4 linked regions of the Saccharomyces cerevisiae S288C genome follow. The gene in region 1 interacts genetically with each later gene. Each region holds a gene or a part of one and is shown on either strand. Other genes may lie near its edges.

What was found.
Region 2: mutations in PHB1 (region 1) and ATP10 together harm fitness more than expected from each alone (negative genetic interaction), as found in Saccharomyces cerevisiae (4 studies listed by BioGRID, with this or other methods).
Region 3: mutations in PHB1 (region 1) and ATP23 together harm fitness more than expected from each alone (negative genetic interaction), as found in Saccharomyces cerevisiae (4 studies listed by BioGRID, with this or other methods).
Region 4: mutations in PHB1 (region 1) and AIM25 together harm fitness less than expected from each alone (positive genetic interaction), as found in Saccharomyces cerevisiae (3 studies listed by BioGRID, with this or other methods).

Annotation. Positions count from the first base shown.
Region 1 is NC_001139.9:754,787-758,428, forward strand, and holds PHB1 (prohibitin subunit PHB1), read right to left. Parts: upstream 1,667-3,642; coding exon 803-1,666; downstream 1-802. Other genes in the region: FHN1 (Fhn1p), read left to right, coding at 1-464; PEX4 (E2 ubiquitin-protein ligase peroxin 4), read left to right, coding at 2,110-2,661; CCR4-NOT core subunit CAF130, read left to right, coding at 2,984-3,642. UniProt on the Saccharomyces cerevisiae protein: Prohibitin probably acts as a holdase/unfoldase for the stabilization of newly synthesized mitochondrial proteins. Involved in mitophagy; may act as an adapter for ATG8 that supports mitophagosome assembly.
Region 2 is NC_001144.5:904,987-908,652, reverse strand, and holds ATP10 (Atp10p), read right to left. Parts: upstream 1,575-3,666; coding exon 735-1,574; downstream 1-734. Other genes in the region: SUMO ligase CST9, read right to left, coding at 1-703; ART10 (Art10p), read left to right, coding at 2,348-3,666. UniProt on the Saccharomyces cerevisiae protein: Essential for the assembly of the mitochondrial F1-F0 complex.
Region 3 is NC_001146.8:666,568-670,405, forward strand, and holds ATP23 (putative metalloprotease), read right to left. Parts: upstream 1,656-3,838; coding exon 843-1,655; downstream 1-842. Other genes in the region: ARE2 (sterol acyltransferase), read left to right, coding at 1-700; YNR021W (uncharacterized protein), read left to right, coding at 1,810-3,024; mitochondrial 54S ribosomal protein bL9m MRPL50, read right to left, coding at 3,207-3,626. UniProt on the Saccharomyces cerevisiae protein: Has a dual role in the assembly of mitochondrial ATPase. Acts as a protease that removes the N-terminal 10 residues of mitochondrial ATPase CF(0) subunit 6 (ATP6) at the intermembrane space side.
Region 4 is NC_001142.9:615,851-619,313, forward strand, and holds AIM25 (Aim25p), read right to left. Parts: upstream 1,485-3,463; coding exon 501-1,484; downstream 1-500. Other genes in the region: ubiquitin-specific protease YUH1, read left to right, coding at 1-436; mitochondrial 37S ribosomal protein mS42 RSM26, read left to right, coding at 2,384-3,184; ESCRT-II subunit protein VPS25, read right to left, coding at 3,307-3,463.

The sequences.
Region 1 (3,642 bases):
TAGGTCTAATCAGCGGCCTGATAGGTACACAGACAAAGCATAGTTCTCGAGTGAACTTTTGTATGTTTGCCGCCGTTTATGGTCTGGTTACGGATTCATTATATGGGTTTTTGGCTAATTTCTGGACATCATTAACATACCCAGCAATTTTGCTTGTTTTGGATTTTTTAAATTTCATATTTACGTTTGTAGCAGCCACCGCTTTGGCTGTAGGTATAAGATGCCATTCGTGTAAAAACAAAACATATCTGGAACAGAATAAGATCATACAAGGCTCAAGCTCCAGATGTCATCAATCTCAGGCTGCTGTTGCGTTTTTTTACTTTTCCTGTTTTCTATTCCTCATCAAAGTGACTGTGGCCACGATGGGTATGATGCAAAATGGTGGATTTGGCTCTAATACCGGATTCAGCAGAAGGAGGGCAAGAAGACAAATGGGCATACCTACAATTTCCCAGGTTTAAGCCTACTGGACTGAAAAAAAGGCAATTCGCGTACAATTTTCGTTGATCGTTCTTTATATAACCTTTGCATTAAATAAATTTAACAAAAAAAGTTCTTTCTAAAATAATATTATGGTGATACATGAATGTGCTTTAGTTTTTTCGTAGGCTCATCCATGTATATATATAAATGATAAAAAACTAAGTTACGATATTGATAGCATACGTATTCGTGTTGGTAACTAAATGGAAAGATGGAATATGTTATTGGCGTTGTTATCCCCCATATATACAGGTTTCTAATATGATTAAAAAAAAATTTTCTCCCCTAGTTTATTGTGTTCATAGCTTTTCCAGACTTAACGGCCAATGTTCAAAAGCAAGGAATTTGGTGATCCCGAAGACTCGCTGTTACCACCACCAGAATGTTGACTTGGTAAATAGACAACGTTAGATGAGTTTGCTAATGTTTGAGCGATGTCCTTAGAAGCTTCTAATCTTCTAATCAATAACAGACCATCACCAACTTTAGCTAAGGCTTTTGAAATGAATTCAGCACTTTCTGCTTCACCTTCAGCTCTGATAACAGAAGCTTGTCTCTCTTGCTCTGCCTTTTCGACAAGGAATTTGGCTCTTTCGGCATCTTGCTGTGCAATCTGCTTCTGCTCAACTGCTTTCGTGAATTCGGGACCAAACGTCATATGAGTGATAGAGACATCTTCCAACTTAATACCGAATTCGTTGGCCCTCGTAGAAAGCTCTTTTCTGATTTTTTGAGAAATAATTTCTCTCTGAGTAATTAACTCAGCAGCATCAAATTGAGCTACTATAGACTTTAAAACCTCATTGCCGATAGATGGTAACACTCTTTCGTCGTAATCGAGACCCAAATTTTGGTATATTGCGGGTAGCTGTAAGACCTCTGGTCTATGTAAGACTCTCAAGGTCAATGACACCATTTGCAAATCCTTCGTACCAGTATTGGTAGCAATGCTCTTTGGTTTCGTCCTCACATCGTATATGATCGCCTTCTGTAGCCAAGGCACCAAGAAATGAGTGCCTTCACCCACAACCTGTTGCTTTACACCATTGATTCTGTCGAAAATAACACCACGAGAACCACCCTTCACATCATACATGGAGTACTGAATCCCGCTAGCAATTATACCAATGGGCAACGCCACCTTGGTGATGACATCGATAAGTTTGGCAGAATTAGACATTCTTTTCTAAAGTAAATTATTGATTTTGAATGTAAGTTTCGTACCGTTGATGGTTGGTTTACCGATTTATTTTTTTTCCTCTTCTTTCTGCTTAATATTATATACCTCAACCGTTGCATCCATGAGATCGTCAAACTCCCTTTCCCTGAAATTTATTGATGCGATACATTCGCGTTACCCGTATCATCATGAAGACGAGTTTATTCTCATCAGTGTTGATCTCTCATACTTGAATAACTCATTTGCAATGGTCTAAGACTCCAACTATGTAGTCATAGTCATTCACTGAAGTTTCTCTTTTCGAAATCCTGAACGGAAGCGGAATATATGTGGTATATATCGCATATTACTGCTTCACAGCATGCAGCGCAGACTGGCCGGGTTATGCTGCCACTTACTGGAGACAACATAAAATATACATAATCATCGCCTTTATACATAATATGCCAAACTTCTGGATTCTTGAGAATCGTAGGAGCTATACGTCTGATACATGTATGTCGAGGATCGTGAAGGAGTACAAAGTCATACTGAAAACATTGGCCAGTGATGACCCCATAGCGAACCCCTACCGGGGGATAATCGAGTCACTTAACCCGATTGACGAAACCGACTTGAGCAAGTGGGAAGCTATAATTTCTGGGCCGTCAGACACACCTTATGAAAATCATCAGTTTCGAATACTAATAGAAGTCCCTAGTTCCTACCCCATGAATCCACCAAAGATAAGTTTTATGCAGAACAATATTTTGCACTGCAATGTTAAATCAGCCACAGGAGAAATATGTCTGAACATCCTTAAACCAGAGGAGTGGACTCCTGTATGGGATTTGTTACACTGTGTTCATGCTGTTTGGAGACTCCTAAGGGAACCCGTTTGTGATTCTCCACTTGACGTAGACATTGGTAATATCATCCGCTGTGGCGATATGAGTGCCTATCAGGGGATTGTAAAGTACTTCCTAGCAGAAAGAGAGCGGATCAACAACCATTGATACCACGTAGGATGGATGTGTTCGAATGGCAAACAATGGGCCCTCACTTTTATCTGATGCAATTTCTACCTTACCCGGGCAGCGCCAATTTATGAATACAAATACTTTAACAAATTGCACTATTGATGTATTGACACATTTGTATATACATATACATATATTAATAAGGAGCACGAATTTTTGACAAGTAGTGCACGCAATATCTACATTAGTTAGCTTTTCCATTGACGCTGAATTTTATTTTGGCAGCCCAGTAGATCGTTGAGGAGCTTTTTTCAAACACTTTTTCTCTCTTAACTCCACATACTTACGTAAGAAAGTGATGACGAAAAAGAAAGCAGCTACTAATTATGCTGAAAGGCAAAATTTAGCCAGTGAAGATTCTTCAGGTGATTCGGTTCATTTTAAGGACTTTATTCCCTTACAAGAGTTACTGAAAGATAAAAATTATGTTCCATCGGTGGAAAATTTGGAGAAGATCTTATATAATGAAACCATGTTTAATGATCAGAAAATATGCTCTAACCTATTGCTTGAGGCTCTCATAATTACGTTGTTCACAACAATTTCAGGGAAGTCAGCTTTACGATTAATTCAGACTTCTTCTTTGAAGGAAAGAAAATCCTGGGCCCAGTCCTTTGAAAATAACAGTTCTAGCTATGCTTCCATAGTACTGAGTTGGAAAGATAATGATATATTACTCCTGAAATTCTTAAGGTTTTTATTAGCAAATAAAACGGCCCCTCTTCAAATTAATCGGTACAATCTTCCAGAATACAAACTCCCGTTGAGCTTTTTAATTGTTTCAAAAATTACTATTCCGTCCATATTACTCAATGAAACGTATAATTTGTTAAAGGACTATTTGTATTCGATAACTGGCCGTATAGAGAGTTTGATAAGCTGCAGCTCCACATTTGATAAGCCAGCACTTGTCGTTAGAAAAATTTTAAAAGATTACAATAGAATGATAGAATGCCG
Region 2 (3,666 bases), on another chromosome or scaffold:
ACTTTTTAATAAAGGATTTGGCTTCGAATTCTTCTAAACTATTATCATCAACTGTCAGATCAACGGTTGGAGGGGGCTGGTAATGATTTTGATGGCTATTTCTTGTTGGTAGCACACCAACTGACATCGAAGAAACATTGTTATGATTCAAAACTGACTCTAATTCCTGTATTCTTTTCTTAAGAATCGCCATAGAATCCAACTCTATTTTGGCCTGATATAGCAGCTGCTGTTGTCTTGCACATTTTTCTCTCAACTTTAAACAATGATTTTGATAGTATTGACACTGTTTCGAAAGCCCATTCAGTTGGAATTGGGAAACATTATATAACGACTCCAAAAGTGGGGGCAGTGGCTCAAAAAAAATCCTAATGTCGGTAGGCAGCTGTTTAGATTCCACAAGGTTAATGATGGAGATATCGCTCGAACGGCATATAGGACACACCTTTGATGTTAATGGAGAATGCTGCGAACAGAGGATATGAGCACATGAGGTCAGCCTCAATGGATCTCCATGCGATGTTCTTCTGTGGCAAACACCACAGTAAACAAAGGGCTGTTCAAAAATAGAATCCGGCATTATATATTTCTTTGGTGATATCAATGATAAACGTCTTACCTGTTTCAAGCACTTTTGTTTTTTCTCTCTCATGCTCTTCGTGTTAGTTTGGGGAATGAACACGATCGCCAAATAGCCGCCCATCCCTTGTTGGCCGCCGCACAAAGCGTCAACTTCACAGACGTTTGGCAAACTTCCACAATGCTTCCTTTTCAGATGGAGTAGCCTCCCCGCAAGCTGCCCACCTAATTTTTAACTGCTGGTCCACAAGAAAGACGTATCCAGAAAAGACATTATTGCAAAAGAGCTCTTCCCTGACGGAAAATGGCCATTGGCCTCTAGAACATTCGAAATAAAATGGCTGGCGCCAGGATGGAACGCGATTGGCCCAACGAGCAAGCGTTTTCACTAGAGCACTTTTCACAGCGTTTTCTACAAGATTGACCTCGATGATTTGGACGTTACTGTCATTTAAACTTAAACGCGCATCAGCTTCAGTCAAGTAGTCAGTTTTTTTGTTATCGTCTACGATTCCTTGGAAGTATGAACTACTCAACTTATCGCCAGATGCTGTACTAAATAACCTCACTATACTGGTTTTACCCCTTAACATATCCTCGATATTCTGTTGTTTCGTACCATCCATTGCCGTTCCTATCAAATGAGGAAAAAACAAAGCTTTATCTTCTTTCCAATATGAAACTGGAGCTATAAACAATTTCCCCTTTGTCTTTTGGAAGACTTGCACGTCATAAAGTCCAGATTTGCTGAATTCAACGGCCAACTCTTTAACTCTGTGGTTTGTCTTTTCCGAATCAAACATATCCCTCAAAGAGTTCCCCTGGGAGTATTTGGTGCTTTTCCTTGGTGCTTGTGTTAAGCCTATTGGCTTGACCAGTTGTTTGATCTGGTATTCCTTTGGGGAAGCCGTTGCCATCATAGGCTTGAGGAATTTATCCAAGAAGGACATCCGCGTAAGCGTGGGATGGTAAAACCTTTTAAAAGTGCCCTGCATAGTTAGTTTAAGTTACTCTGATATCGCAAATAAACAAATAACCTGACTTTTACTATATGCTGAAATAGTCCTTTTTAAATATGCACTCTTCCATATTTTTCTGAAGGCGAATCAAATAAATGGTAATAAAAATTTAAATTTCAAAAACGATTTCTAGGCAAGGATATTGTGCGTAAGGAACAAAACAAACGTTTATAGTAGTTTTTATATAGCTGCATAGTGATGTGGCGAGAACTATTAAATATTTCTTACTTCGAAGTTTTATGTACATCGCCTCTGCCTTGCCTTTACACTTTTTAAATTCTTGATTCTGCTCTAGTACAATCTTCACCACTGTTACAAGATCAGGCGTCTCTTTACTAATACCAAGAAGAGGGTGAGATACATGATATTTTATTAAACTGATATTGCCTTGGGTCGGCTGTAATGCAATTAGTCAGGTGGAATCTAATATCACCTAGGGCCTTGGTGAAAATTCTCAGCAAAATGCGGGTTGAGGGTGAGAGAGGGTCCTGGGGAAGGTGCACGCCCTTTTCACAAGAGGTGCGTAAGAGAGAAACAAGCCTTCGACTCTACAGCCCTTCTAACACCGCCACTCAATCAATTAAAAGCAGTCGCACCCATCCAAAAGTAGAATTACATAAACTAGAGGAGAAAAAGCAGCCAGTACAAAGGAGAATTACTTCATTGACCAACGGATATTCTGTGAGTGTTTATATTTAAGATTCTGCTTTTGATTAGAGAAGGTTGAGAACCATACAGTTTGTCAAACCATGGCTCCAAAAATTTCAATATCCTTAAACCCACCGTACAACGGGGAGTTTTATAGCTCTAATGATCAAATGTCAGGGATAGTTAGTCTTCAGTTAACAAAAGCGCTATCTATAAGGAAAATTTCCGTCATTCTAAAAGGATTCTCAGAGACCTTAACAAAAATTGATCAAGAGTACATGTTTCAACAGAATGGCATGATGATGCCGGGCCAAGACAACAAATCCTTTCATACATTAATGAAATTCGAACAGAGAGTTTTCCCTCCAGATAATGTATGGAATGCTCTTGATGGCTCCTCCAAGCCGTTCAAAGTTAAACCAGGTTCATATAATTATAGCTTTCAATTTGACAAGTTTCCCAGAAAGCCTGAATGTCTGAAAAATCATACGGCAAAGACAGTAGCGTTTGTGACAAGAAGTAATGCCCGACTCCCACCTACGTTCAATAGTCATTGGCAAGAATTTAATAAAATCGATAATCTGGATTTGTATTTTTACTCTTTTGGAAAAGTTATATATATGGTGCAAGTTCAATTAGAGCTAGGGAAATCTTCATCTTGGTTTAAGCCATTCCATAAACTGATAAGGGAAATCGAGACGTTCGAATTTATACCTGAGCCAAAAGATCTTATTATAGAACCTGATGAAGATGACAATGAAGAACTTAATGCCTTCAGTAACAATAGTAGAGGAAATAGTATGGTCACCAACAATGAATTTTTCAATAGTTCAAATTTAAAGGTGCCATCAAAGGACGTCAAAGTCGTTAATGGAGTCGGATATATAAAAAGTGACAGGAACTTTTCTCAAGCTAATTCTATATTGATAGAAAACGGCGACATTAGATCGAGACCGGTATCATCAGTCACATCAACAAGACAATCTACTCGCCTAGTAAATGGTATGAAAGTTTTCCCATCTACTTATAAAATGGGGTTGCCTGATGGGGAAAGCAATATGAGAATAGAGGTTAGAAGTCGAGATTTGAAGCAAATATACAGGAAAGACTACTTGTTTAGGTCTGGCAGCCAAAATTTTGACAAGGTCTATGTAGTCATGGAGGGGAATATAGCAAGTTTGAGCAAAATGCAAATTACCCCACTTAAACTACAACTGAACTTGCTAGAGACTACAACATATTTATCTCAGGGAATAGCGAACGGCAATTACTCTTCTTTGAAGCTAATCGAGATTGATTTGAATCAGCTCAAATCCAATAAACCTCTTTTGGACTTAAACGAAATACGAGAAAATTTTGATGGTTCTATGTTTGAATGTGAATTACGGTTAAAGGATCACCCCATTTTAAGAAAGTTGGT
Region 3 (3,838 bases), on another chromosome or scaffold:
TTGGTTCACCATGTTTCCAACCCTAATTTACCAAATTGAATATCCAAGAACTAAGGAAATCAGATGGAGCTACGTATTAGAAAAGATCTGCGCCATCTTCGGTACCATTTTCTTAATGATGATAGATGCTCAAATCTTGATGTATCCTGTAGCAATGAGAGCATTGGCTGTGCGCAATTCTGAATGGACTGGTATATTGGATAGATTATTGAAATGGGTTGGATTGCTCGTTGATATCGTCCCAGGGTTTATCGTGATGTACATCTTGGACTTCTATTTGATTTGGGATGCCATTTTGAACTGTGTGGCTGAATTGACAAGATTTGGCGACAGATATTTCTACGGTGACTGGTGGAATTGTGTTAGTTGGGCAGACTTCAGTAGAATTTGGAACATCCCAGTGCATAAGTTTTTGTTAAGACATGTTTACCATAGTTCAATGAGTTCATTCAAATTGAACAAGAGTCAAGCAACTTTGATGACCTTTTTCTTAAGTTCCGTCGTTCATGAATTAGCAATGTACGTTATCTTCAAGAAATTGAGGTTTTACTTGTTCTTCTTCCAAATGCTGCAAATGCCATTAGTAGCTTTAACAAATACTAAATTCATGAGGAACAGAACCATAATCGGAAATGTTATTTTCTGGCTCGGTATCTGCATGGGACCAAGTGTCATGTGTACGTTGTACTTGACATTCTAAGGCATCCTGCAACTGTTCTGTGGAGCTATTAAATCTTTATAGTAAATTTTTTTTTACTTTTTTTTTTTTTTTTTTTTTTTTTTATTATTTACAAGCGTCTATATATTTTCTATTATAGAATATTGTCATTTATTACATTGGTTCATCTGTAAATCTCATCAAACGGTCTCGTATCGGCGAAGCAACTGTCCCAAACTTCATCTACAATTTTTGCTGCATGTTCTTTGCTTTGGCAGTTGGGGTTCCCCGAAACACTAATTATTGCCCTCCTTCTAACACAATCTTGGTGTCCCCTTGCCACATGGAATCCTGTCCTAAACCCTCTTCTCTTGAACTCTTCCCAAAACCTGCATTCCCCACTTAACGAAGAGGCTCTGATTTCAGAACATGCATGATGCTTCAGATTTAACCAATCTATTTGCCATTTTAGATCATCGAAATAATGAATTAATTCATGCGAAAGCGTATCCTCTAAATGCCACTTATCACGTAACCTGTTCTGGCACAATAGGATTCCCAATTCAGGATGAAAGCCACCGCCCTTCCAGTCGGGACAGTAATCGCAGATGATCTTCGAATCGTCGAATTTACTGTCGCTACCCTTATTAAGTTTCGTAATAGCTTGTACCATAAAGCGAACTGTGGGAGAGTATTTAAGCATCCAATCTCGATACTCATAACATTTCAGACATTCCTTTTTTAGTTCTCGAGCTTTAGAGTCGTCTTCGTATCGAGTTTTCTCCTCCGGTGTCAAGCCTATACCAGTCTTGTACTGCATGGTCCGTCTCCACCACTCAAACCCAGCATTATCCCCACTGCTATTCATATCGTGCCAAAAAAAAAAAAAATTCGGTACTATCAGCTTTCCTTGGTTTTGGTTGTACAAATTATGCCTTACTCTTCTGATCATTTTGATATTAGAACTCTTATTTTTCTTATTTGTTCGCATCGTCATAAATGATAATTGGCGAAAACGCGCCAAAAAGTGAAAAAGTGAGAACTACTTGAAAAAAAAAAGTTTGATATTATAGGTATTATTGCTCAAATAGGTACGATATTGTTGTAGGCATAAAAATTAGATTAGCAGAACCCTTTTCCATTTCATTAACATGTCTAGTTCAATATTTGGCCCACTTACGGGTTTTTTGGAGCGTGTCAATTCACTCAATGCGCCCTACCAAGCATTATCATATGACGAACAAAAGGCCATGACTATTTGGCAAAGAGTCAAATTCTACAACTGGACTTTTGAATTGTGTGCTCTAGGTGTGTTGTTCTTGGTTTATGCTTTCTACAAATTTGGTAACTCCGTTAATTTGAAGCGCGGAAATCAGATTTTCCAATCTTTGCATTCATTTTTGGCCAACGACTTAAAGTTCTCCCGTGTAGGGTTCAATATCAATGATTCCAAAATCTTTACAGTGGAACACCAAAATACATGGTTCTCTTCTTTTGCTACCGGTAGATCCGCCATCAAGAGCATCAACCTAAACCTTCATCTGGTAGCCCGTAGCAACCCTTTCTCTATGTGTCTAGAGTACCTGCTTGGATTTTTTTTTGCAAGTTTGAAAAGTAAGCAATTGGAAGAATTTATGGAGATCGTGATCAGGCCAAATGGTATTTTAGTTACTAGTGAATCTGCTCATCCTAACAAGAATGCGCATGAAATTTTGACCAAATTTAGATTTGTCACTTCTATTGTTAACAAAGAATTCATGAATCAAGCTAGAACTGAAAACTATTTCCTGTCTATTGCACACACTAGTGAAAACGATAAACTACCAAATAACTTCGTCTACATGTCCGATGTTAATCAATTATCAGGGTTCATGTTTCATTACTCCAAGCCCTATGAGGTTTTGTCCCAAGCTGGTAATCTTTTGAAATATATAAGTTTCACCGATTTGCCTGTCAACCCGCCACGCGATGATAAAGAATGGGAATCTTCAATTGAACCAAAGGCTATCATTCGTTGCGCTGTTCCCCAAAATGAGAATGAATTGAAGTTGTTAAACCAAATTATTTCCTTAGTCGTAGAAATCTACGATGGGTTCACTCAAGATTTAGTCCAACAGTCTCCAAACTTATTCATTACCAACGACATCTTGAAAAGAACTACCAACTTGCGTCAGCAAGAACTGAACAAGATCAAAAAGTTTATGAAAGAAACTGAATTGGAATTGGCAAAGGAGAAGAAATTAGAATTGGAAAAAGCCAAAAGACGTCAATTGAAGGCCTCTGGTCAACAAGAAAAGGTAGATCAAAAAATGAAAGAGAAAAGAGAAAGACGTCTCAAAAACAAGCAAAGAACAAGATTTCAGTAAGAACCACTTTGTTCTTCTTTCCTCCTTATAATTTTCTGAACCTCTTCAGTTTTTGTATACGAACGTTTTCCATGTATCCATACATTTAAATAGTAAGTATGTAAATTGGTATGTGGTGTTTTGAATTGCGATGTTGCCTATATACAAGATTGTACGCTATCTGAATACATACTCTTTACCAATCAAATGTCAAGACCGGGGATCTTAACCTCTTCGATAGTAATCCCAGAATCCAATAATCCCTTCTTTTCCTCTTTTGGCTTCTCTTCTTTCTTGTGGCCAAAAACAGATTCTTTACGTAACTCCATGTTCTTTTGAACTTCCGTTTCATGGCGTTTAGAGAGCTGTTGATGGTCTTCCTCTAGCTTTGCCTCAAGTGTTTGGTATTGTTTTAACAGTTCCGTATTTATGTCGTGTTCTTCGCTGAGTATGTATTTTGCACCATTGAAGTTATGTAAATAGTTTCTCATTAAAGATGGTTTGACATTTGCAACTTGTCCTTTATATAATTGAAATCGCGGGAAATCCTTCAGGACTTGAACCTTGACCCTGTGGGTTCTCTTTGTCAGAGCGCTCAGACACACCTGGGTGCAATGTAGCATCTTTGGTCGACCTGTTTCGTTCGTTATTTAGTTAGCCTTTTATATTCCTTACGGTATAACGTAACTTAACTGCCCTTTGAGTTTGCTTTTTCATCGGAAAGAACAAATGAACTAAAAACTTGCAATAATAAACAAAAAAAATACAAAATAACGTGGATGTATTAAACCAAAAACAAAATAAGACAACTCTAAAGCTGTCAAACAGAGATCTA
Region 4 (3,463 bases), on another chromosome or scaffold:
GTATGCAATTCTTCATTCTTTGAGCAATAACCAGTCATTGTTGGAGCCCGGCTCCGACTTGGACAATTTTTTAAAATCTCAAAGTGATACTTCAAGCTCGAAGAATAGGTTTGATGATGTTACTACCGACCAATTCGTCTTGAATGTAATAAAAGAGAATGTACAAACATTTTCTACTGGCCAGTCAGAAGCACCAGAAGCAACTGCAGATACTAATCTACACTATATCACATATGTGGAAGAGAACGGAGGGATATTTGAACTGGATGGAAGGAATTTGAGCGGACCCCTCTATTTGGGAAAGAGTGACCCAACTGCCACCGATTTGATTGAACAGGAATTAGTTAGAGTGAGAGTCGCCTCATATATGGAAAATGCAAATGAAGAAGATGTATTAAACTTTGCTATGCTAGGATTGGGCCCTAATTGGGAATAATAATTGTTTTATTACTGCGTAGTCAAATATGTATTTACAGAATTCTTTTAAATATATAATTCACCTACTCATCATAGCCACCGCCAAAAGAAAGGAAACCTCCAGTTTGTCTGGAATGTCTCGAAAAATAATCGAAATCGATGGACACAGCGTTTGCTAATAACACGGCCCTTTGATCCAAAGTTAGTACTTGAGAACTTAGCATCTCAGTAGGATAAATATTATCAAAGCATCTCTGCGAATCAAATCTAACAACATAAACACCAGTATCGGTAAACATTTCTCTTCCTAAACCAACCCAATTTCTGTCTACACTCGCCATTATCTTACCATCAGCATCTGTTACAGGAAAATCAAATGATAAGAAAGGTGCATCTATCTTACCAAATTGGTCAAAAGTGGATCCTTCTACTCCATCTTTCTGGAATAATTCGTAACGACGCCTCCAGAGATGCCAGTTCTGAATGGTCTCTCCTACTGTCGTTCCTTCTTTACCGTCGTGATAGTGAGTGGAGTCACTGCCATTATCAACATACGCGGAAGGAGGTATGATAGTCTTTATATGAGAATTGATGAACGAAAAGGGCCTTTTAATCGTCATTATTACATTTCCCCAATTATCAAAGACATCTACCAAAAAAGGACGATGTAGACGATAAAACTGCCGCATTATGGCCTTTGTTATAGAAAAATCTCTTTCCATCATTGATGCTATTTTGTTTCCGTTCACATCCATTATGGCATACCTATTAGCCTGCTCGAAACCTAGAAAAACGTTCATAAATTCTATTTGCCTTTCGATAATAACTGTCGGTTCATTAAGTATCGTAGTAGCTATAGGATCATGTACTTTTATTATCCCGCTATTGCTATTTTCTTTAAATGCTTTTACTGATGGCGCCTTCGTTATTTGGTTCTTTTCACGAATTACTCTCCTAAATGGACCGTTTCTGATTACTTTACCAGAAGAAACCGTTAATGTTTTACTCAGTGTACTGAAATTTCTCATACATGATCGGTAAGTTAGAAATATTGCCGTTCTATGCATGTCGGTGTTATCCTTTATGTTTGACCTTTAATCTTCTTTTGTTTTGTCTTTTTTCATTTCGTACTTTTCAAATCCTTATTGCCGGTAGGCTTACAAACTTGAATGAAGTATATAACGAAGTCAATGAAACCTCTCCCATACTAGGTTCGGAACCTGTTAAGGGGAACAAGACCGCGCACTTGTTATGAAAATTCTTCCTATAACTATATTGAAAGCTATTTTTCCACATCGGCAGACAAACGACTGTCCAGACTTAGTAAAGCTCTTGGTCGATTTTGTACATTGCCTTTCCTTTACAGCTCCAAGATATTATATATATTTTTGACAAGGTAATCAATTGCCCCACAAATCTTCCATATAAAAACCTATATATGCTATTAACCGAATGGCAATTCCCTCTATCTCATATCTCACCTCTACAGTAATCCTTCCGTGGTATCTGGTCTATAGAAATGGGTACTGTTTCATTTAAACGTGTTATCACTTGATCCAATGGTTACCATCTGACTTTGGCATCAATCCCTTCTTAAAAAGTAACCAATCAATGATATGCGATTGTTTATGAAGTCCATTCAACAAACAATGGGAGTTTGGCCGAGTGGTTTAAGGCGTCAGATTTAGGTGGATTTAACCTCTAAAATCTCTGATATCTTCGGATGCAAGGGTTCGAATCCCTTAGCTCTCATTATTTTTTGTATTTTTTTTTTTCACTTCCCATCTTTCCAAGAATCTTAGGAGAGGTGCCGCAGTACTTTTTTGGACTGAGCAAGAAGTATCGCAAAGCATGGAAAAGTAAGAAGGGTATAGCAAAAGTCTTTTCACAATAAGAGGATATTTTGCAGGCAAATTTCTGAAGACCACATAATATCGTCTTCTTGGCGCAACTAAGACGCAGAGAAATGCTTGTTTTCAAAAGGGGTATTCACGTAGTACCTAAACTACCAAATTCTAAGGCCCTACTGCAAAATGGAGTGCCTAATATACTCAGTTCTTCGGGATTCAAGACGGTGTGGTTCGACTACCAGCGATATCTATGTGATAAGCTAACGCTGGCGACAGCGGGACAGTCTTTGGAATCATATTATCCATTTCACATATTGCTGAAAACTGCAGGAAATCCATTACAGTCAAACATCTTCAATTTGGCGTCCTCTATCCATAATAACCATTTATTCGTGGAGAACATTCTACCTTCTGCTGTTGAACATGGCACTAACTCGAACGCCGTTGTGAAGACAGAGCCTTCTAGGCTTTTTTTATCCAAAATCAAAGATTCATTCAACGGCAGCGATTGGGAAGTAGTGAAGGAGGAAATGATTTACCGTGCTGAGAATGAAGTCTTGGGACAAGGCTGGTTATTTCTAGTTGAAAACAATGAGAAAAAACTCTTCATATTAACGAGCAATAATAATGGTACGCCGTATTATTTTCCCAGGAACCAGTCATTTGATTTAAACAGTGCGATATCCATCGATGAATTTGCTACCTTGAAACAAATGAAAGAACTGATAGGAAAGTCTACTAAGTTGAATGGTAAGGTTCAAGACTGGACCATGCCTATAATCTGTGTCAATCTGTGGGATCATGCTTATTTACATGATTATGGCGTTGGTAACCGGTCCAAATACGTGAAGAATGTTCTAGATAACTTGAATTGGTCAGTGGTAAATAATAGGATATTCTCTGGTATATCGAAGTAATGAAAAGAAAGGAAGCGATAGCCTCTTACCCTCATATGTAATTATAAAGGTATCGGGTAGAAGGGGATCTACCAAAATCTTATATACTGTAAATAGTTTTATTTTATCCTCTCGCTCGTGTTTTAAACAACCTTAATGGCAATTACTTTATCATTTTCATCTTTCAGCATTGTGGCCCTATTTCTATCGCATAGGGGCTTCAAACAATAATAGAGCAAGCTTTCGGGCATTCTATGGAACTCCCAATTGACTGTTTCATCACCTTCACTCAATTCGTAT